Oreochromis niloticus: one gene and its partners. The protein of the gene in region 2 purifies or fractionates together with the protein of the main gene of each other region. This does not show direct contact. Links are inferred from orthologs where the notes say so. Each region holds a gene or a part of one and is shown on either strand. Other genes may lie near its edges.

Evidence for each region.
Region 1: the proteins of blnk (region 2) and btk purify together in Homo sapiens (affinity purification with western blotting; 5 studies listed by BioGRID and IntAct, with this or other methods). This does not show direct contact. The link is inferred for Oreochromis niloticus from reciprocal best matches to the Homo sapiens genes BLNK and BTK.
Region 3: the proteins of blnk (region 2) and syk purify together in Homo sapiens (affinity purification with western blotting; 3 studies listed by BioGRID and IntAct, with this or other methods). This does not show direct contact. The link is inferred for Oreochromis niloticus from reciprocal best matches to the Homo sapiens genes BLNK and SYK.

Annotation. Positions count from the first base shown.
Region 1 is NC_031966.2:17,466,591-17,474,681, reverse strand, and holds the start of btk (tyrosine-protein kinase BTK), read left to right. Parts: upstream 1-4,888; 5' UTR 4,889-5,019; intron 5,020-6,582; 5' UTR 6,583-6,660; intron 6,661-7,585; 5' UTR 7,586-7,637; intron 7,638-7,882; exon of another isoform or gene 7,883-7,887; 5' UTR 7,888-7,905; coding exon 7,906-8,046; intron 8,047-8,091. Other genes in the region: rpl36a (large ribosomal subunit protein eL42), read right to left, coding at 22-42, 1,675-1,797, 3,006-3,073, 3,702-3,807, 4,391-4,393. UniProt on the Homo sapiens protein: Non-receptor tyrosine kinase indispensable for B lymphocyte development, differentiation and signaling. Binding of antigen to the B-cell antigen receptor (BCR) triggers signaling that ultimately leads to B-cell activation.
Region 2 is NC_031978.2:26,391,311-26,399,547, forward strand, and holds the start of blnk (B-cell linker protein), read right to left. Parts: upstream 3,326-8,237; 5' UTR 3,230-3,325; coding exon 3,161-3,229; intron 2,933-3,160; coding exon 2,870-2,932; intron 1-2,869. Other genes in the region: dntt (DNA nucleotidylexotransferase), read left to right, coding at 6,442-6,635. UniProt on the Homo sapiens protein: Functions as a central linker protein, downstream of the B-cell receptor (BCR), bridging the SYK kinase to a multitude of signaling pathways and regulating biological outcomes of B-cell function and development.
Region 3 is NC_031972.2:7,913,384-7,921,313, forward strand, and holds the start of syk (tyrosine-protein kinase SYK), read left to right. Parts: upstream 1-4,727; 5' UTR 4,728-4,931; intron 4,932-5,480; 5' UTR 5,481-5,552; intron 5,553-7,930. Other genes in the region: chd1 (chromodomain-helicase-DNA-binding protein 1), read right to left, coding at 2,076-2,128. UniProt on the Homo sapiens protein: Non-receptor tyrosine kinase which mediates signal transduction downstream of a variety of transmembrane receptors including classical immunoreceptors like the B-cell receptor (BCR).

The sequences.
Region 1 (8,091 bases), on a different chromosome or scaffold from region 2:
TTCATAAGACTGGACCACAGTTTAGAACTGGATGACCTGGCCCTGTAAGAAAACAGAGGGAAAACATTTGTGAGAATGTGCAACTTATATTTGGATTAATTTACATTGGTGATTGCCATGAATTTATAATTAAATTCTGACTTTTGTACTGTAGTTGATTAAGACTAAATAAAACCCAGTATCTTCACATTCATCAGCTTTACCAGCCTGTTGTAAAGTATTGCCACATATGCAGACAGAGTGGATATGACTTAACCTTTGTTCTGTTGATGAGGAAGACAGTAAGCAGCTATTAAATAGAGTAAATGTAAAGTCTGATTAATGAGGTAACCCAACAGATGAATACTGAGTCATGGGGACACAGGAGCCAAAGCACCTTGAGGAAACTGTTGTTGCGATTTGAAACTGAAATAAAAGGTAGCCAATCATGAATTTGAGAATCATGAATTAGAGCTTGTATTGAAGGAAGAAAAAATAATTGATGTTTAAGAAAAAATAAAGAAAAGGAGAAGCTCAACAGCAAACCTTGTAAAAATAAATAAACTATAACTGTATTGACAGTATATATAATGAGATCAACTCATGCATCGTATTTTAACCACCACAATAAATCAACACCCAACCCAGAGTCACCATCTCATCAAAACAAATACAATTTACCACTAACCACAAAAAACAACAAAAAGAAAAACAATCTGTCACTGAAAGCAAAATATGCTCCAGTTAAAATCCACGATGGGCTGCATATTTATCAAGTCCAGCAAACAAACATTTCCTAATGCGATTGTGTTGCTATAGCGTGTGAAATGCACGCAGACGCATTTACTCATGTGGCCATGCCTCTTTCACAACTCAATTTCAAAAGCCGTTTCTCACTAATTACATCGGAAAAGGGTGGGCAGAATCGAGTCGGGACACGGTCAGAGGTGGCCCTTTCCCTCGTCTAACACACAGAGCATGTGTCAGACGCTTTCAAACTACTGGAAAAAACTGTTGGGGGTATTTTTCCCACCTCTTGAAGAGTGTTGCCTAGGCAGAAGCTTCGACAAATATTCTAAAATCCACATTTTTATATGTACATGTGAAAAATTAAACAATTGCCAGAACGAACAATTTTGACAGGAAACGGGATGACTAGAGAGTGAATAGGCTCAAGATAATTACATATCCGATCCAACTGCATCTGGCATTTGCATTCTCGTGCACCTTCTTTGGATATCTAGCAATATCCATCTTTAGCGTGCAAGGCTACAGTGCATGTGTAACAACAGCTTTATACAAACTATTTTTTCTGAACAGGAAATCCATGTTTAGGTGAAAAACCAGCTGATATGCAAATTGTGCATTTTTATCATGCTGTCACCGCGTTACTTCCGTAATTTATCATGATTAACACAACAGATGTCAATATGTCACATGAAAAACTAATAGTGGGTTATAAACATGAGGTTATTAAATTTTAAATGTGTAACAAGATAATTACCTACAAATATGAGAAGTCAGAATATTTTGATAACAGATTTCTGTGGGATGATTCTGACACCAAACTGTAGCTTTAGCAGAGATTAAACCCACTCTGAAAAGTACTACTGAAATAAAGTTAATATAAAGAATATGTTGTAAAGAATAGTGAACTTTAACCTTTACAATACCAGGGACATATGTGAGTCTTACCTTTCTCTTCTTGTCACCACCCAACTCGAAGTGCTTACATCTCTTGATGGCCAGCATTCTCTTGGATCTGCAGTTGGGCTCCACACACTCGAGCCTCAACACAATCTTCTTTGTAGTCTTAGCCTGTGTGACAGTATTTCAGTGAGTGTCATTTCCCCTCACATATCTCAACACAATCAATCCAACAGTACAATGCTGTGAGAAAGTATTTACCCTTTTCATAATCATTTTTTTCCTGTGAACTTGTCACACCTTAGCATTTTAACACTAGATAAAGATAATCTGAGTAGGGCTTGCTGTTGTGCTTTGGATCAGTCCTGCAGCATAACCCGAGGGCACTTACACATAAGGGCACAAACAGACGGCTGGACATTTTTTCTTTAGGATTTTCTGGCAGAGAGCAGAATTCATATTTCCATCAATTAAAGCGGCAAAACAGCCTCTGACCATCACACGTCTGCCACCATGTTCGATTGTTATGTATTTATCAAATGCTGTATGTTTTATGCCAGATGTAACATTATTTACATTTTCCAAAAATTTCAACTCTTTTCTCGGCAGTCCACAGAATATTTCTGTCTTGGAGTTAAGCAAGATGGTTTTTGGGGGGGACAAATGTGAAACCATTTGGTCAGTAATGGTTTGTACCTTTAAACTCTCCCATGGACGCCATTTTTCCCAACTCTCTTCACACTGTTGAACCTTGAACTCTGATCTTAACTGAGGCAAGTGAGGCCTGAAGTTTTTTAGATGTTATTCTGGGATCTTTTGTGACCTCTTTGATGAGCCATAGATGTGCCCTTAAGAGTAATTTGGATAGGCTAGCCACTGCTGAGAAGGTTCGTTACTGTCCCCAAGTTTTCTCCATTTGTGGATCATGGCTCTCTCCACCTTTCCAAAGCCAAAGAAATGCATTGCAACCCTTTTCGCACTAATAACATCAATGTCTTGTTTGTCATCGTTTCTTGACTCCCTTAGATTGTGGCGTGATGTGCTGCTTTTTGATATTTTTAAAAACTTAAAACCTCTACAACACATTGAAGTAAGTGACTTCTTCATATCAACAGATATGGCAGTATTCACGCCTGGGAGAGGCTATTGAAATTTAACTCAACTACCCCAAAAATGTGGCTAATTACACTTAAATCATGATTTCACACAGGGCAAAGTAAAAACTGTGCTTTCTAATTACTTGGGTTATTTTTTTATAATATTAAAAATTAGTATGACGATGATCTCAAACTTTAAAGTGTGACAAAATTAGCAGAAAAATATAAATCTGGAAAAGGACGCACTTTTATTACAGCACTGAATGAGAAAGCGATGATTACCTTTTTTCGGAAAATCGGCTTAGATTGACCACCATACCCACTCTGCTTTCTGTCGTATCTTCTCTTACCTGAAAAACATTTAGAGTTTAGTCAACACATACTTGAACAATTAATAAAATAAAGCAAGGATGCACTGATGCATGGGTTCAAAACAAAAGATTGTAAAATGTCTGCAAATATGGGCCAATTTCCCTTCTGTGACAGGAAAAAGATTGCAGATATATTAAGTGCTAAGACACTAATCTGATTGATTTATCAAAATATGTGACATTATATATATTATATCTTTGCTTATATTAGTAGGTAGATGTAGTAAGCAGAATTTACGGAGTTATATATAAAATAAAGAAATGACCTGTTTTCCAAGAATCCCTATGACTCTTTGTCATATGTACACTTAGCTGTACCCTGTGTTTTACACGTCATCAAGCCAGTCCTTTTTGGCTACCTAAAATATATTTATAGAGATGCTGTTAAATTTGGTGCAATTTGTTCTACACTCTTGCTCAAATCTACTGAAAAATAAACTTGTAACTGCTTGTATTTTGTGACAGGAACGTTCTTTCTGGCTCATAGTGACTTGATATCACTTACAAAAGATGTGTTTGACAGATCACAGGTCAATATTTTATATACAGACACTTTTTTGGCGTTAGACACCAGTGCATCCCTTAAATACAGGACAAACATATTCACCCTGTACATAAAGAGAATCCTTCCCCTTCTTGTACTGGGTAACTTTGTGGGGCTGGTGCTTCTTGCACTTCTTGCAGAAGGTCCTGCGGGTTTTCGGGACGTTCACCTGCACAACACAGAGAATAACATTTGAGCAGACGTGCAGTATACACAAAATACCACAACGCGGACTAACTAGCCACGTCCAACAGGCCCAAGCCATAAAACTCACAACACTTATCAAAAATAAAGCGCACAGCTATAAAGAGTTTTGTTAAATCATTTTCGAAATTGACCTTAATACACAGAAGCACCGAGTTTATCATTTAAACTGTGGCCGGCAGTGTTGGGGCAAGCTAACACGTTAGCATCGCTATTTTAAAGAAAACAGCGTAAACAAGTGATGCTCCAACACTTTTTACAAAGCAAAACACTTTTTGACATAGCTGTTAATTGATTTTAATGTTTAGCTTGTTTTGTTTTTTTCGCTTCTGACAGAAAGGCCGGTTGGAGTAGAAAAACCAAGTGACGTTTCTCCACCAAGATAGCATCCATCAATATCACAACGTTAAATACACCAAAGATGGCCAATACCGCCATCGTTACGCACATCGTGACATTATCAACATAACCGGGTGTATCAAATACAGAAATTGTACTTTAATCGGCAGGATTGAGTTAGATTTGTTTTAGGTGTAATGGTAGCATACCATGGCTGCAACCCGATGCAGAGGGAAAGAGGAAGAAGGAGGCCGGAAGCAGTTCTTAAAGTCGCCGTAGTCGACCTCAGCCGTAGAGAGGTCTGCCCCCTAGCGGCCGGAGATGCAAAGAAGCCAAAACCATAAAAAGACTGCAAACACCCCAAGTTTTAAGGAGAGTGACAGCCATGGAGTCCACAGCATAAACCTGACAAAACTCAGTGCCTCAGTAATATACTAAAACACAAGCTATACGTTTTACTCACAGTGAGTAGGCTTTAATTCCTGCAGAAGTTATCATTTTGAAATATCTTTTAACAACATAATAAGCAGGTGAGAAACTAAGAAATCCCCTCAGGTTACAGTGTAACTATATGTAACAACCAAATATGGCCTCACATTAATGTTTAGCCCGCTTCCACTTATCAACAAAACTGTCCAGAAGGCTGATATGAAAATTAGCAGCAAGAAAAAGGGGAAGTAAGCCCTGTCGATTCCTCTCTGTGGGTGTGTTTTAAGCTTCTTGCATCACAGACCAACACACATTTTATGGAAAGCCAGCTACTGAGGCAAAGGTCCATGCCACTCTTCAAGCCTCAGCATCTGCAGTTGTCTGATGTGTGTCATTTTTCGACATCTGGGTAAGCAGCACTTGTTTCTAAAGGAGGTATTTTTAGTCGCACTTTGTTCACAGAACTATAAATGAGAGAAGCAACCTTTGAGTACACTTCATCTGAAAGGCCGAGGCCAAAAGTAGCATAGATTAGTGCAAGTACTCAACTGAAAACCAATGTAATTTCGTTTGTATGCAAATCCTGTGAAATAACCAATGAAATTATGAGTCCACAAGTGACATTTTCAGCTTAAAGTCTAAAGATTTATAAAGTTTTGAATGTTTTCTGGACATAAATGTACTGTTGTGCGCTGACAGAGTGCTGATAATCCTTTATGTGCATACACTGACATTATTTATCAAAGTGCTTTCTTTGTAGCAGAAAAGTGGTTCAATGTATAGCAAATCACTATCACTAATCAGGTTGTACTTTCACACAGTTACTGACTCTTCATGGCAGATAGCTTGGATTGAACTGTCATAGATTGTATTATCATTTTTAATACTTACATGTGCATCATGGGAAATTCTCGTATTCTGACAAATAGTTCTCACAAGTTACCACAATGTTAAACTTATGTGGTATTTTAATATGCCTGAGTATTCTTTGCGGTTAGAATCAGTCTTGTGACATTACTCACTTTTTTTTCTTTCTTTGTTACGTATGCTCACACAGAGACACACGCAAACACTCATACACAAGTGCGCATTTTATTGCACATAGCACTTATCTACCAGGAAACATCAGGAAACACAGCATCTTTACAGGTTCCTGTTAACATTAGTCTTTCATGATAAGCTTGTGTCTGCTGTGTCATTCACATCAGACATCACGCAGTCAAAACTTGTGCACTTTAGAATAAAAAAACAATAATGCCAATAATGATAATTTATAATGATTTATTTGCTACTTAATTGCCTTTCGCACAGAGGGTGTAGTGACACATTTGGCCTGTTTTAGATTATACAGTCCAGGTCACACACAGAAGAATAAATTACAAACGGAACCTGCAAAAACTGGTAGATTACATGCTTTTCAAATGTCCAAATCATGCACAGCAACATTTAAAAAAGAGATACTGTCAGGTAAGAAGAGGTGCAGGCCACAGGGTTTCTTCTCTCTTCATATTGCAACGCAATACTGATGCAACTTCCCTATGACTTTGTCTGTGTCAGCCACCATGAGTCAACTCCCAGCAGAAAAGGCAAAAAAAAAAAAAAAAATCTCTGAGTAGCCATGATGCATTAGTAGCTGCACAGTTCAGTCAAAAGGCTTCACTTATTTAGAGGCACATATCACGGTTTTGGGCGTGCGCCCTCAGAGTTTATTGACCTTCACTCGAGTTAGTGATGTGAGAAAACACGGGTCGTGTTAAATGAGGAATGAGTAAACAATGTTTCACAGAATAGGGAACACCTCTGTCTGCTCATGAAGGCACAAACAACACCAGCAGGTAGTGTCACTCGAGTGTGAAGAAATGTCAGACTTCGTTAGCAGAGAGCAACAGAAGCTTCTCGTAGTGCTACAGTTACAGTTGAGATGATAGAAGGAAGTTCTCTCTCTCTCTCTCTCTCTCTCTCTCTCTCTAAGCTGAAAATAGGCTGAGTTGAAGTGCGCACACATCTGACAGAAACTGACACACAGTGAGCATTCGGCCGTGTAACGAGGGTGAGTCTGAGAATTTGATAGTTCACATTTGAGCGGTAACCGGTAACAAATAACTTCCCTGCATTGGTGCACTTTTGTTGCACTTTTAGAACAATGTGGTGATGGGAATACCTTGGCTTTTCTTCTGGTCATTTGGTGAGATTTTAGTTTTAGTTCTGCATTGGTCAGAACCAAAGAAGACTTTGCTTCCCAACCTATCATCAACATCAATATCTTTCAGCTTTGTTTCCATCAGTTGTCGTGATTTTCTGCGTGTACCGTCACTGCAACACTATTTATGCTGAATTAAGTTTCAGCTATCTTTATTTCCCCTAAAATATCAGGCTGTTAATGTTGCTATGTTACTAATTTCCACAAAGAGAAATTATTGTATGCTCCCCTTCACTCAGATTCTATCAATGTGTCTTGTTTTGGAGGTGCAAGTTTCATTTCAGCGCTGGTGGTTAGGAGGTGCTGCAAACAAGACACACTACACTGCCATAAAGCAAAAAGAGAGCCTTTTTCATTTGCCTACTTATCTTATGTGCGTGGTAAAATGTAGAAATGTGCCCGAGGGGAAGGAAGCCTTCTGATAGTAAGAGTGATATATTACATGATATGTTTGCCAGCAAACAAATTTTATTTAGAAATAAAATGGATCATGTCTAGACTGTATAGTTATATAAAATGAAAGAACTATACTACTGTATTGAGCCAGGTTTCTGGATCAACAAATCAGGCACTTGATATTCATTCCAAAGGCAAAGACGAGTTAAATACTGTATCCAGATGACCAGGATGTAACAGCTAAGAGAAACAGATGTGCCACAGAGGCAAATGTTGGAAACCGAGGATGTTGCTGTCAGGAAAAGCAGGGCTTATGCAAACTACACCTAATCACACAATGATATGCGCTAACACTGCATGCCTGTTCATCTCTTTCCAGATCTCCACTCTCACCTGTTGTAGTGGCACTGCTCCAACTCTATGAACAGTGGGTAGGTATTACATTCTTTAAAACGCTTTTCAAAGGAAATGAAAACACTGAATAAGTGTAAAGTTCAGCAAAACATGAGGCTTTATTATAATGCTGAGCACAGTCACAATGGGTGAGCCAGTCACAGCTCTCAGCAGAATTACGGATGCTGTTATAGTCGGGGTGAGAACATGCTGTTTAGTGGAGAAGCCCTGTGTTACGCCATGATTAGTCTTTTTAAACGTATCCATTTGTCACTTGTTCCAGTGTAGCTGAATCCTGATTGAATCATGTCAGACTCTATACTGGAACAAGTCTTCATTAAAAGATCTCAACAGAAGAAGAAGACCTCACCTTTAAACTACAAAGAGAGATTGTTTGTTCTCACAGCAGAAAAAATATTCTACTATGACTTTGACACAGACAAAGCGGTATGTATATAGAACTGAAGAAAGGTTTGTTTCATATTAATGTTG
Region 2 (8,237 bases):
GCTTCTGGACACACGCTGAGCTCCGGATGAGTCAAAAATAACTTATTACAAATGTTTCCTCTTCTTTGCTGGATTTTAAAAACCCATAGAAGAGGCAAACAATGCCTTTAAAAATTCTCCTTTTATTAATAATTAGTCCTTTCAGTGATGTCACTGGAGTGTTAACAACACTGCAGTTGTTGTCAAATGTGATTTTAGGTTAACACAGGCAAACACAGCCCCTTCAAACAATACAAAAACGTATATTTGCAGGCGGGTCGGTTTTTCAGAAGCACACTGATGATTCAACCACTGAGTCTTTAAAACGGTTGCTCTTGTAAAATAAAAGGAAGTGACATTACACTGCCAGGGGCAATTTCAGGATGTTTGTCAAAAATAGAAGAGGAACTGGATAGTTGCAATGAGCAGCGTCACTTGTAGTAGAGAAAGTAACAGAGCACCATCTGCTGGAATTCGTCAACTGAAAATCCAAACAAAACCTTTCTCAAAGACACAAATGTCTTTACAGTAAAGACTTTTTTCAGATATTTTCCAAATATATGTATCTATGAAGTTATTCTGTCAAACACAGACAACTTTATACACTTTCTGTAAGCATGCTCATAAACACCAGTGAACATTTAGTGTCATAACTCTTCTGTAACTTTCCAGATCTGAAAGGTGAAGCTTCTGCATTCTTTATCATTACCAGTAGGGGGCAACCTCTCTGGTTGTATGACAAAGACAGGTTGTCTATAGGAAAAGGATTCCACTAATCATTCCAGAAAACAGTTTCCTGACTGTGCTGTAGTATAACTTGTGAGTTAGAAATCTTCTCAGTTACATCATGGACTTTTTCTAAATTATGGCTACTTGTAGAGCCAATACTGCTTCAGGATGGGGCCACCTTGTGGTTGACAGCAGTGCCCAGAGTTTTCTTGCTCATCACATCCCACTTCACTGTGACAGCCAACATGCTTAAAGCCTTCACAAACTAGCAGGTGTCCATATTTTATATACAGTCATAACAGCCTAACATCAGCTTGCTAATATATTCCAGTAGCAATGCTAACAAGCTGATACTGATGGGAGCATTTGATTGGAGGAACAACCGGAAGGTAATCAAACCACAAATATCTGTACTATAGAGCTTAAAATAGCAGATTATATAACATTTTGCATTATATACAGTCTATTATTTGTGCAAATTGCTTACATATGCTACATAATAGTTAAAAATGCCAGCCTGCCTGTTTGAGCAAATTATAAAGTCAAGAGCAAAACAAAGTCCTCTATTGACACAGAATATTTGCTGCAAATTTCATGCCCGTGCACCCAGTTGTTGCTGAGCTACTTTGCTCTGAACCACAAATGTCAACCTCCTCTTGCGGCACTGGAGAAAAAGTTAGAGGTTTGCAAAAGTCAGCATGATTCAGCCTCTGAGGACGCCGAACAGCAGAAGGAAATTTCATCCAAAAGCGATCCATCGAGAAGCTGGTTGGGGATTTTAGGTTATAGATCAAAATCCTTTGCTGCAGTAAAAATACTGAATAAAAAAAAATAATCAACTAGACCAAAAAAAAAGCTTAAAAGTTTGACTGGGGAATGTCTGTCAGACACCGCAACCTTGAAGCTAGTTAAACTAAAAAGCTGGGCAGCCATTCAATAAAAGCATGGGTTTACTTAAGCGTGCACTGGCTGGATCCGTAGCTAAGGAGATCCATCAATCGATACACATACTGTATGTATATGTATATTTCAGATCGGTGCTGTTAATGTGCACATCAAAGCCTCTGCTCTGAAGTATTAATCAATTTGACTGATAAAAATCCGCATCTTTTTTTTTTTTTAACTATGCAGGCCAAACACTTCAGTGATGCAATATCCCACCTAAAGTGGAGTTAGCTCAGGGTCATTGAATAATGAATAGGCGACTAGGCCGCTGCTCTAATTTAGAGCGTGGCAAGAAGTGTGCATAAGCGTCCACTTAAAAGATGCATATGAATGAAAGCTTCTTCAGGCTTGCCAGTGTGTGGGAGGTTTTTACTGAAGTATTATAAAGATCCCCAAAACACCAAATATTAGGGAGTTATAAACCCTCACTTCAGTTATTTGCTGCATAAAATCCTCTTTAAACAGCGTTCCCCCTCATGACTGAAGCAGATTTAGAGATACTTACTTAAGTAAGTGGGGATTACAGCTTTATTAGCCATGAGACTCATTTCACACTCCTTACTCTCTCCCGAACAGGGGCACTCAGCTGCGCTCATTTTGGCAGCCTGCTTCTCGGTAACTATGAGAAAGGCCTCAGAGACTGTACACACGGTGTGGATGATGGAGACAGAGCAGCGAGGGTGAAACCAAAGCAGAAGTTACAACAGATACACAGACTTCCACATTAGCAGGGCCACAGTTTACACAAAGAGCAAGTGTGGAAAGTAACGCAACCGGCTTTAGTCATGTTTCGTATCCTGTGAACTCTCCTGTTTGTCAACTTGAAGCGTGCTTTTAGATTCATAGTAAAAGTGTGTTCGTCAGTCAAGTCAAGCAGTGACATTTTAACAAGAAAATAATAAAAAAATGTCTGCCAGAGTAACAGAGAGAGTGAGAGTTTTACAAATAAACCAGCCTCAACTGATTCTTTGTGTGTGTGTGTGTTTTCTAGCAAAATGGCACAAACAGCTCGAGGAAATGTAATTATTCTGCTGCTGTTAATGTCATAATCACAATAATAACAACTGCTCGTCAGGATTTGACCATTTTAATTAGAATAACAAACTGAACACAACCACAACCCTGATATGATCCTGGGTGGATTAGTAGATTATGTAACTGCGTGGGAGAAAGAGCCATTTCTGGATTATTCAGGTACAAATGAGGAAAGACTCACCAGAAATCTCTGTCCATTAATTTTCAGTCTGTTTACGGTGACGGCGCATTCTTGCATATTATTCTGAGGAGAGGAAACATATCCATTCACTACTTTTAAATTGCTAATTACACACACTTATTGAAACAACCAAACATTTAACTTCCAGTCATCTAATGTCCTGGTCTTACTTTAACACTTTAGCTGCTAATTTGCATTAACATTAACATTATACATGACCCTCAGAATGAAGTGGTGAATATTTAAACTATGACAAAACACAAGCATCTCTCCCATTTCCAGTGGACTCACCTTATACAGTAAGGAGGCTACTTTTGCCTGGTCCCACCCCTCGCACTCCTCTCTGGACGGCAGGTTCATTTCGGACTCTACAGGGAACCTCTGAGCACGAGTGTGCTTTTGGAAGTACAGTAATAGACTGACCCGTCACGCACTGTGGCTCTAGCGCAGCTTCAGCAGGGAGAAGTACACACAGAGAGGTCACCTCATTATAACCAACACACGTTTCCCGTCTCTCTCTCTCTCTCTCTCTTAACCCATAAGTGGTGTGGCAATTCATGTCTTCTTAAAATTTTAAAATTGTCCCATAGAATACAATGAGCCATTAACAAATAGGGAAGCGGGGACTTCCTCGTTCTATATAAATACTTCTGAAACAAAAGTTTCATAACAGTGGGACTTAATTTTTACATCCTAGCTCATGCCTGCTTCATTTATGGTTAAAGGATGTAATCCACTCTGCGTTTATTTTGATTTCAGGGGGTGATCGTATTTCACTCATGAGGCTCTTTAGGTTGCATTATTCTCTGAGGAAAGATGGCCATATATAGAGTGCATTCCTTCATTCAGCTTTTTTTAGAAACTTTGATAAGTTTAAGTTAACCTAATTACGTTTTTCACATATATATATATATATACATATATATATATATATATTTTTTTAAAATGATACTTTCAGGTCAGACATCACTACTTGCCATCCTACCAATGCCATTTGACTAGAGTGCAGTTACTCTTGCAATGCAAAGTGATATCAGATGAGGACACGGGCAGAACAAGTGGTGGAATGTAACTTAATAGAGCCTGCTGCTAATATTTGCTATTTGCATGATACACTGTATTGCCATATTTGTTCATCTGCCTTCACATGCATATGAACTTCAGTAACATCCTATTTTTAAACCATAGGGTTTGCAGCTATAACAGCTGACCACCAAACCCAGACTCGTCCTTCAGATTGCCAGATGGAGATACGTGATTCATCACTTCAGAGAACATCTGTCCACTGCTCTAGATTCCAGTGGTGGCGATCTTTGTGCCACTGCATCTGACGGTTTGCATTGGGTTTGGTAATATAAGGCTTGGATGCAGCTGCTCGGCCATCAAAACCCATTCCAGGAAGCTCCATACGCACTGCTCTTGAGCTTTTAAAGACTTGTGTAGCTTTTTCAGTATGTTTGAACCATTTTTAACATTTTTTTAGGAGCAGCAGAACAGTGTAGTTAAAAAATTCTGGTAAACTGACTATACTGTTGTCTTAGCAGAAAGAACAAATGGACAAAGTTAAAACGAGCTTTAAGCTAAATGGAGCATGTATCCCATCCTGCCTTGTATCAAGGGCTCAGGGTGGTAGTGCAATGTTGTGGGGAATATTTTCCTGGTACTCTTTGGACCCTTTAGTGTCAACTGAGCATCGTTCAAAGGCCAAAGGCTACCTGGGTATTACTGTATACGCTGTCCATGCATGCACCCATCTTCTGATGGTTCTAACAATGCACATGTCACCACAAAGTGCATCATGTCAAACTGGTATCTTGAAACTTTACTGTTAAGTAAAAGTTGCCAAAGGTTGGCTGTATTTCTTTTGATTCCAGTATTGTACGTGAAATTTCTTTGAGCACAGCATGCGTTGTTTGAATATTTGTGTGCTTGTAATGACTTATTATAGTCTAACGAGACTATAAAACCCCAACACAACTCTTAAAGTTGTACTAATTTTAAAACATACACAACATAAATGTCATTATTTTCATCTTCAAAGTTGTAGTAAATGGCCTCAGGGCACAAAAAAAGAAATAAACTAAAAAAAAAAATCAAGATATGACTGTCACTTTGTCCTTTCTAAATGGAACTGAATATGCACCATAATTGTAATTATCAGACAATTTTCTCTTGCACCCACAGAGCTACTCAAGAAAGGTGGAAGAGAAATTGGATTCATTGCTCGTGCAACGATTGCTGCTGGCAGTGTGAGAGCCATTCGTCTTAGTGATAGAATTTCATCGGTCTCACGTTTGGATGGGGGCCAGCACCCTCATATACAACTGACTGATTGGGATGGCGGATGGGTGGGGGTAAACAGTCAAACAATTAGTGGCGTCTGCCCCGTGACACCCGTTAACCCCCAGAACTCCGCGGTAATGAGATCTGTGTAATAATTTCTGTGTAGCAGACAGAAACAAGGTGTGCTTATTAAAGTGACGAAATGAACAGAGGCTGTGGTAATTAGATGTAGAATAAAGGCCTGTAATGATTTCATCACCCTCGCCTAAATCAACAAATCATTGCTGTTTGGTCTACTGAAGCAGATCCATTATTGCAGATAATTACAGCAAAGACCTGCTGAAACCTTTTCTTTTACATTCCTGACCGCCATAGCACAGGAATCATAACAACAGGAGACATGCTGTAATTACCTCTTGGGAAACAAAAGGAATAGATGAATTCAGCTGATTAAATCTTTTTTCAGTCTGCATTTCTGTCCGATCCATATGCAGCCGTATTCCCCGGATAAACGCTCCTAATCATCAACGGCTTGCGTATACAGTACCTGAGTGTGTGCAAAGGCCGTGCACGAGCTTGCGGGCTCTCCGGGGAAATGCCCACAAAGGCTCTCATTTTTAGGCAGTAAGCTAATTAAAGCGGCAGAGCAGATGGTGCAGGCTTGGTCCGGACATAATGAGACGGTGAGTGGCGAGACGAACTGGACATGGCAGGACAGCTGTGAGGGGTTTGTGAGGTGACCAGAATTCAGGCGTCTCCCAGGAGCGAGAGGCCTCGCTGGCAGTCGAGAGGAGCAGAATTTAAAGTCCATGAAAACTTTATGAGCAGCTTTTTAAGAAGAAGAAGAAGAAGAAGCAGCAGCTACTGGATTAGTAATTGTTTACTTCCTCCAAGTGTGTGTTGGTTGAAAATACTTCACTGGAAATGAGTAATACCACGTCAGCACAGTGTTTTTCAAAAAAAAGAAAAAAAAATATTATTTTTTCTCTCGCTCACATCCTCAATCACTCGATCTTGGCAGGTGGTTTTTGGTAAACACCAAATCCTCAGCACCTGTTGCCAGAGGCTTTTCCTGTCTGCCAGCTCTCACCAACTCTGCTCCCAAATATTAAAAAAAAAAAGAGAGAGAGAGAGACACAAGTGAAAAAAACAACTGCGCCATTACCAAAGTAGGTGTTTCTTTTTTTTTCCTGGATGGAAGTTAAGTGGCGCACAACAATACCGACACAAACTCACAAAAGCGGCGATTCCTAGAGGTGCAGAAATACTTTGGAGAGCTCATCTCAGAGATGTTCCACGCTCCTATTGTGCCTCGCGCGAGGAAGAGGTCAAGGCCGGCCGAAGCAAGCGCTCCCAGGCGTGAAGGGGTGAAGTTTGAGGATGTCAGGCTGTACCTGGTGGAGAGGAAAATGGGCCGCAGCAGGAGAAGCTTTCTGACCGAGCTGGCCAGGTCAAAGGGCTTTATTGTGGAAGACGTCCTCAGGTTTGGGAACCAAAAAAAAAGCTTGCCATTTGTGTCATTCACAGACTTAGCAAGGCTTGCCACCTAAAAGCTTTTCTCAATGTGAAGCTGAAAAGAGCTTTAATGTAAGGGGAGGAGGGGAGTGGGTACACCTTTATTTTCTGGGTTTGTATTTCCTGGAAGCAAACAGACTGGTTTGATCTGGCAGTTGACTTTTGAGGCCTCTAGTTTAACCCTAGAAGCATTCAGCAAAAGCATTTTCTGGCAGTCAAGCTTATGACTTCAAAATTAAATACTTTCCATGCCTACAAAAAGTTTTATTATAGTCTGAAAAAAAAAACAATTAAAATTTTGTGGAATAATTGCCTGTGCACAGAATTTTTGACTGATCGGAGTGGGAAAAACATGCCTGGACTTCAACACTGAGACATCCAAAGTTACTTTTTGGCACTTTTCTGCAAACTTCTTTTTTTCTTAGAAGCTATGGCCCAATTAGCTAAATAGAGAGCGACTATTGTCTCATGAATAGTTAATTAAGAAGGGTTAGGGCATCCATCCTGCCTCCTCTTCACCTTAGTGGATTTCCCCCCCCCTGAGCCATTACTCACAGCTCCACACATAAATACGTTAAAAGCAGGGGGAAGAAATTGGCTAAACCAGCTGCAGCTTGTTGGCAGCCAGAGAACTACAAACAATAGAAGAAAGGTAACAGAGCACACGCAAACTTTTTAATGAGTTTGGTGAAAGTTTTTTTTTTTTTTGTTAAGTCTCACTTAAGAAGAGATGTTCTGTGAGCTTGTTCCTTGGGATGATGATTCATCTATTGCGCGGTAATTACAGACGCAGCGTGCCTCCGTCGTTTTTTCTGCCTCTAATTGAAAGTATCTTTTTAAAGTCCCAAACTGTGAGCACAGCAGAAGTCCTCCGCTTGACACCAGAGATGCTTTAGAGTCAGGCTTCTTTGTTAACGCAACATCCCGTTATTTAGATGTCGACTTTGTTTTCAGTGCTGGGCGTTAAGCTCAGAGTTTGAGCTCCTCTGGTGAGCAGGTGTTTTTGTTTGTGTTTTTCATTGCTTTGCTTTCATGGAAAGTGAGGGCAATTTCTCCTTCTAAGTTAACATTAGCTCAAGGTTGGAAAATGGTTGAAGTTGAGCATATGATGTAGGGTGTATGTACAGGGTTTAGGCAAAGGGTCCCCATGAGTATGCTATAACCAGCGTAAGAGCCTGTGTGTGTTTGTGCGCGAGACAGAGAGAGAGTGTTTAAATGCGTGTCTAAGTGGGCCTGCCAGCCGTGCACCAGCTTGGCCATGGCAGCATTCCCAGAAACACAGCTTGAGCGCTCCTACGGTTACACTTGGCTTGATACAATTGTTTGAAACCAACGACAGGAAGTAGAGCGTGCCCGCCTCAAACTGACATTAATTCTGCAAGCCGACAAAACTGCTATCAGCTGCAGTTTGATAGCAACACCTCACGTGCCTAGTCTTACACACGTTATAGGCAGACTGCCTCCAGCATATGGTCAGATGCACTGCCTGCTTTCCTCTGAGCATAAAGGAACATGCTCGTACACGCACACGCACAATCACACGACGCACATACACACAGGTTTCCACATT
Region 3 (7,930 bases), on a different chromosome or scaffold from region 2:
ATAACAAAAGTTGGGTTTCCCCATATCAGAAACAGAAATCATTTAAGCCCTTAGAGTCTCAACTGCTCACTCTCCAGCTCCTCTCCTGCTCAGCCTGAAGGTGGAGTTTGACACATCACACATAGGTGTATGGAATCAAAAAGAGGTGCAGCAATGCCTTAAAAAGAATTCTATATTTAATCATTCTTGCTATACCATGAACGCTTTTCAATGCAAATATAAATAAGACTACTTTGTCATAAACAGCAATAATCAACTGCTTCTCCAGTAAATATATCATGTCACAATATGAAGCCAACTGCATCACTCATATCTGCAGCTTTAGAGAGCCATTAGTGACAATAGTCAAGCAGTACAAGAAATCCTGTCTGTGACAGGGAAGGGCATCAGGATTTTATCATTATCAACACAATTTATGAGGGTTGTCACATTATTAGAATTTAAAGTTTGATACCAATACCCAGGAAAGCACACGATTCCATTTCCAGGGCAAAAGTATCATAGCATGCTGCTAAAATGGACACTGAATGTGAATGGGGACAGGACAATGGCCAAGAACACAAAAATGAACTGCCCTGATGGATTCTCATGGTCTTGTCAAAACCACCGGACTTAGACAAAAACTTTTTTTTTGTCAGAATACACAATATAAATAGACAGAATACACAAAGTTTTTTTTTTTTTTTTTTAAAGTGCTACCTTGATTAACTACTATGTTAAACAGGAACTCGGTCAATCCTATGCCCATAGAACGAGAGCTGTGTGGAATTTGTAATGTAATATAATGCAAGTAAGTAAACCTTTTTTATACAGCACCTTTCACGGGTCAAAAACCACAAAATACTTTACAATAAAAACAGGCATGAACAAAAATACAGAAGATTAAAACATAAAACAGCATACAGCCTGAAACTAGTTAAAAGCCAGTCTAAATAAATCAGTCTTCAGCTGCTTCTTAAAAGAATCAACAAAACAGCGCAAACATGCAGGTAAGGCATTCCACAATCCGGGGGCCACAGCTCTAAAGGATTTATCCCCTCTGGTCTTAAAGTGAGTTTGTGGGATCATTAACAGTCTTTGACTGGAAGATCTCAGACTGCAAGAAGAGAAAGGACTAAAACGTTTAAATGAATTCTAAAACGAACCAGTAGCCAACGTAAAGAGATTAAAACTAGAGTAATGTGCAGTCTCTTTCATATGTTGGTTTAAAGCCTAGCAGCAGCACTCTGTACCGACTGGAGACGGTTACGTAAACACATAAACAGACTGTTACACTAGCCAAGACGAGCTGAAATAAAGGCATGAGTACTCATCTTTAATTCAGCTTTTGACACAAGACTTCAAAGCTTAGAAATATTTCTTAGTTGAAAAAACAAAACAGTTTCAGATTAATCCATGAGAATGGCTCTCGAAAGACATGGATAAATCAAAAAAAAAAAAAAAAAAATCACACCAAGGTTTCTGAGTTTGGATGCTGAGGGATGACTTCAAGTGTGGTAGCTTTAACAAGCAATCTATAACCAACAGTTATAGATTAGTATTAGAGAAATGCTACACTGTCTCTATGTAGCTTTAAGTGCTTCACTGTAGATAAAGCTAGCTAGGTTTCAGGTATTCATTTCCCTACTACTTTCTACACTCACATATACAGTATTTTATAAAACTGAATTATAATAAATGTGTAATTGTGTACATATTTTTCAGTTAACAAGTACAAAATAAAAAATGCATAACAAATGATGTAAAAATTTGTATTGGCTACTGAAAAAGGGCCTCCAATGGTGTAGCATTTTACACATTTGCCTGGCAAGCGAAAAATTGCTTTCGATTTGATTGGGGTTGCATCCAGAAAAAACTGTGCCAAATCAAGCATGTGCTGCTACCTTCTGTGGCAACCCCTTGTCACAAGGGAACAACCAAAATTAGATCTCTCCATCACAGACACCATCTGACGGTTGTTAGTATACGGTCAGGTGTATGGTGACAATATAGTATGTAAGGTATGAGATGATGTTCTAAAAAAGTAAACAGCAGGCTGTTATTTCTATTTGTGATAAAAAATAAATAGTCAATACCTGGATTCTCCACTGCTGTTGCTTACACTTTCATCCTCACTGCGTCCAGCCATGCTGAAGTCAAAAATATATAGACTTCAACCTGGCAACCTGTAGTATTATGGTCCACGTGTTTAACCTGTGAGCAAAAATACACGTAAGTTTAAAAAGAACTGTATGCAACAAATACTTGGGGTTATATTATTACTTGTTGAAACCAGAATAATATCAGGAATATAATTTCACAACAACATGCATTAAGATATCTGATTAGGTGGAGCTTGATAAAACTCAGATCCACATGGCAAAGTACAACAGAGCTTAGTGTACCATCCGTGACTGACTACAACCTATGCATCAAAGCTTGTCCTGTGAACCATTCAAGCAGGGACGCAAATATACTTTCGATAAATTAGTTTCAATTGAAACCATTTCAAGTCATCTATCAGGTCTGTGGTTTCATCCTAAGAGAAGTGAACCGCGTCTGCAACACAGATAAACGTCTTGAGATATGACTATTTCAAGTTAAAACTAGAAAAGTCTGATCTGTGTGGATGGCTGTCTGTCATGCTACTTGGCTGAACGTCATTTATCCCACACCGCAGAGGCCTATCAGGCCTGCACTGTACCAGCGTGTTTTCATGTACACATGAAGCTCCGTGTGTACCCCAAGAAGATGAAAAACTAAATAAATCAATAAAAATAAAATCAGAATAAATGGTTTCAGGACACCCTCAAGTCATCACTTGGGTACACTATCACTATGGTTACAGTTTAGCAAGTAGCTCAAGCTAACTAGCTATTACCGGCTAACGATGGCAGTATTAGCGATTGGCGGGCAGGAGTAGCCTATGCAGACATAGCCAGCTATAAAGAACAAATATACAGAATAAGATTCAGCACAAAACCTGTAATCACCTGATTACCTGTAACCACTTCGCTATGTTTATCTAGTTGCAGTTTGCTAGCCGCTTTATGTTGTGCTATTGTTTTCTGGATTTAAAAATCCTACACGTGACAACTGTTAACTTTATACCTTTACGGTATGCACCGCAACCAAGTAGCTCAAACTGTACATGCCTTTGGTACTTTGTTTCATTTTGTGTCAGTGTGGGTGAAATAAACATGAGGAGAGCTGGCTCACAGGCCATCACAAGGGCTGTCAAGGCAAACAGCATTAGCTAACGCTATGAAGCACGAGGCTAGCACAGAAGCTAACAAAATGAGAAAACTTTGCCCTAATAGGAAACCAGTAGAATGATAACTTTAGAGTTACAGATGATACTCAAAGTTAATCGTCAATAATATTTAATTATGTAAATATATGCACAATCAGTGGATTGGGATGAACAGTTATACAAATTTAGTATTCATCATTAAACCCACAAAACCAAATTAGCTAACCAACTTCACCCTCTCCCATCTTGTTTTCATTCGCTGTTCACTTCTCGCGGCTTTTACAACATCAACATGCAACGTTAGCTTACTTTTCGCTAGCGTAAGGACTAAGTAACTCAATGATGTGTGTTACCTGTCGTTAGTTTATGTTACTCGTGAAACTCCGATAAAATATTTGTCTAAACCAGCCTTTCCAGTCCAGGAGTCCTTTCTTCTTTTATTTAACTGGCGAGCTAGCAGCTGCTGGTAGCTAATGCTACCGTAAACTTGCTAGCTATCTCCCGGTTAGGGAGCGCAGCCCGAAAGACTCCGGTCGATAGAACTGGTAGAATGTTGGTTTTCCTCTTCTTAACCAAAGTCCCGTTTGCCGTTTTAGAAGTTACAAAATACAGTGCCCGTTGATAAGCAGCGACTGTAGAAAGCTAGCATTTCAATCCAGTGTCTTTCCACAACCGGCCTCCGCCATGACGCCGTAGGGTTCACTTCTCCAGGAAACCCCGGACAGTGACGTAACGACTCTGCTCCTTACTCCTCCAGTGTAGCAGCAGGAAACGTCGGTTTCTCATAAGTCGTCTTTATCGTTATCTGAACAAATGGAAATAAAGCTAGTCTGACAATTTAGGTCATCGTAACAGCAAGGTTATACATATACAAGGTCGTACACAAAAGTCCGTCTTGTTTACGGAATTACGATAGCCGTCAACCATAGTTTCTGTAGTTTGAAACGTACAACCCTTGCACTTGCCGGTTTGTGGTCTTCTCCAGACCGTATGTGTGTTTAGTCCACTTAACGTGCGTTCTCTGCTTATGGCGAGTGTTCCTTATATATAAGAAATGCATTTTGAAAAACAAGTGCATGATTACAATACAAACTCACACGTACAGTCACCTGGGCTTTCAGAAACAATAGCTATTTAGAATAGAAAGTATTTTAAATAAGCATGCCTGTTTTAGAGTCAGTGACCGCCGCACGCGCGCTATCTGAAAAACTATCCCAAAGCAGCAGAAAATTAAACCCTTATGTAGCAACATCACCACCTGCTGGCGACATTGTCTACTGCATGCTGAATGGACCTCATTTTACTTCTGTAACAAATTTGACATTAAACAGATATGAATTGGTCGATGGTGCATACACTGATAGAAATATGACGGATAGGCCTGTTAAGTCTGACAACAAGATGATCTTCTTCAGGGAATCAGGGGGCATTAGGTCGGCAGAATCACCGCATGTGTTTGTGGGTATGGACCAATAGGAGGTGATCCAGGGATGGCGAAGCTCCGGAAGCTCATATTCTGCATCTGTAAATATTTCAAAGCAGTAAGGATGCTACTGATGAGCTCCGAGGATACCACATTTGTGTCCACAGATCACCATCAAATTTATCCAGCATAGTAATGTTAAAATTATAGGCGACCAAACAGAATAAGAGCAATGGGGTGACTGATGGATAAGATAAACGGAGTGTGCTCCAGAGGGTGAGTATATGACCGCAAATATCGATTCATTTCGCCGCATCTTTGTAACAGCTTCATTTAGATAGAATTTATATGACAGAAATGACATGAGTTGACCTGATGATAATGTCCCAGGACAGGAATTCAACCGTGCAAATGATGCGGATAAAATGTGACACAGAGGCGTGTCCCAAAAGATCACTGGAGTGAACCCTTCTGTTGCAGGGGCAAGCATATTATTCGTTATGTTCTGGCGCACATGTGAGGATATTTTTATGATTAAAAGGCACGGATCACAGTTTAGCTTTAGCAGAACCCACGTTACAAATGCAAAAATGGAGCTTGTGTTTACCAGTAACACAGAAGTGAACTGTGGGCTCCTCCACTGCGCATGATTTGCTGCTTCTCTGTATTCTCTTTCTGTAATCCGTTTATACCACAGTATGACACAGTTGTGTCTTTATGGCCCACTTGGGATTTTTTCTGTTCTGTTGTGTGTGTGTGTGTGTGCGCACGTGTGTGTGTGTGTGCACGTGTGTGTGTGTGTGTGTGTGTGTGTGTATGTTACAGATACAGAAGTAACAAAATAAGGGAAATTTTGTGGAGAATACTGACAAGAGTCATAGTAAGAACACTTGTACGGTAAGAATCATATTGATGTTGATATTGATCATATTGTGGGTACAATTTACATTAATTGTCATTTCTCCATTTTATATGGTCATGTTTCTCCTGTTTTTGCCTTAATTACAAGGGTTTTTTTTTTTTTGCCTTACAGATGTAATAAATTAAGATTCTTTCTTTCACCTTTACAACTGCATGTTCTGGTCTTTGCGATTTAGTTTTATTCTATGGAATTGAAGGTGTGGATCAGTTTTGGATGAGGTGGAGTTAGATTAGGTAAATCAGTTAACACCTATAATTTTTTTAAGTATTTAAAATCAAGTTGTGAGATAGTATAATAAGGTTGGGAATAAATGATCAACACTGCTCTTAAGAAACACTGTTCTTTGATCTGTTTCTGAAGGTAAAATGATTATAAGAAAAAATAATTTGGTAAATAATAATGATCATTTAAATATGCAGCATACAGATGCCTGAACAGAAAAGGGAAGAAGTGTCTTTAAGACATGGTGCAACACACCATTTGAGAATGTTTAATTATAGAAAACATGAACTTGATGGAAACAAAAAGGAGAACATAATTGCAACATGAAATAAGGCAGCTGTACTGCAGTGTGAACATAGGCTGAAGAACTCAATAAGCATTTATGCCATATACAAAGTTAAGCACACCAACTCTTGTACTCGTCCATCACAGTACAGTTTAAAATAATATACAGAAAAGTACACTATAGTACACCATCAGAGGAAACGAGTGGTAGACACTATTGATATTTAAAGCAGAGACCTGCTGCCAGTTAATTTTAAATTTATTTTTATTTTTATCTGACCAACCTGAAGAACATGAGTATGTCACTGTTCAGATGTACCGGTTAAGCATTAGTATTTTAGACAGATATTAAACATTTAAAGGTTTAGGCTGAGCTTTGTTTTTTGGTATTTAGAGATCATATAACCATGATACTGAGTTTTTGTTGAGCATGTTAAGCTAATCGAGTGTGCACTATTACTTTTTCAGTGTAGTGCTAACGTGTATGATGGTTTTTAATCGAAAGAGTATCCATCATTATTCTAGCATATATGAGGTTTCTGCAATGTTGTGATGGTGTGGCTCTCCACAAGGTGGAGCCATATGGTATATAGGTAAATGAAGTCTTCCAGTAGTGATGCTTATGTTAATAGAATTTTGATAATCAAACTTTCAAAATAAAACCTTCCAACTGTTACTAAAATTAAAGGTGGTCAGAATCCATACTAAAGCATGTATGTGTATGTCACTACATTTCAGAAGGTACTGGTGAAGTCACGTTTGTATTACCTGACCGTTTTGAATGGATAAATGCAAGAACTTAAACGTTACTCTTAATATTTAATGTTTAATTTACACCCAGAAGGCAATAATTCAAAGTTAGGTAAAAACAGCTGAGAATGTGAAGTCAGTTCACTTCCTCCACAGTGGTAAGACACATAAGTTTGACATAGTTGCAATTAGGTTACAGTACAAAGACCACTAAATGTAAAATTGACATCATTGGTTGAGATTTTTTTCCATTCCCCTGAGCATCAACTCCAAAGGAACGTTAGCCACCTAACCCTGAAGTTAAAGTTAAATCTGCATGAAACAACTTTAGCTTGAAATGTCAGTGTTACACAATCTCTTTCATGCCTTTCTCTCTTTTACTTTTACTCAGACCCAGTCACAGAGATTACTGCAGTAGGATCAAGTGATTCAGATGATACTCAAATAAAAAAAAGAGTTTTTTCTATACTTGTAACATCACAGTTTTATTTTTAAATAAAATCCTTCTTTATTTGGCTATAACTATCTGAAATGGTAAAAGCAACCCAAAACCAAAATGAGCCTTTTCTTGATGAAAAAAATAATGTCTGCTCATTTTAATCATGACTGGTATTTTTTCAATAACTTCAAAAACACTCTTGAATTTCCTTTGTACTCCATTAGTTAGATACATTCTGATATGTGCTATCAAATTATAAAGAACGAAAGAAAAAAAAGAAGCAGAGATAAAGATCATTATGATAAATAAAGGTACTAAGTACTAAAAGAGTAGTTAGCTCTGTGGTATGATTTTCATGCATAACTGTTTTCAAATCATTTTGGTGACCTCCCAGTTACAGTCTAGTAGAGCATCAAATTTATTCAGAATTTAGTCATGTTTGCAAAGGTTTTTACTGTAATGTACTGTAAAGTTTTCATTGTGTGTAAACCATAACCCATTAACAGTCTGTGATATAACTCTACATAGCAAAGAGTTTTATAACCTCATAACCTCATAAATTTACATCCTTGTTTAATAATGTTTTAAACTATAGGCATATATTTCATTCTGTTCCAATTAAAATCCACAGGTCAAACAGGATAGTTAAACTAGCCC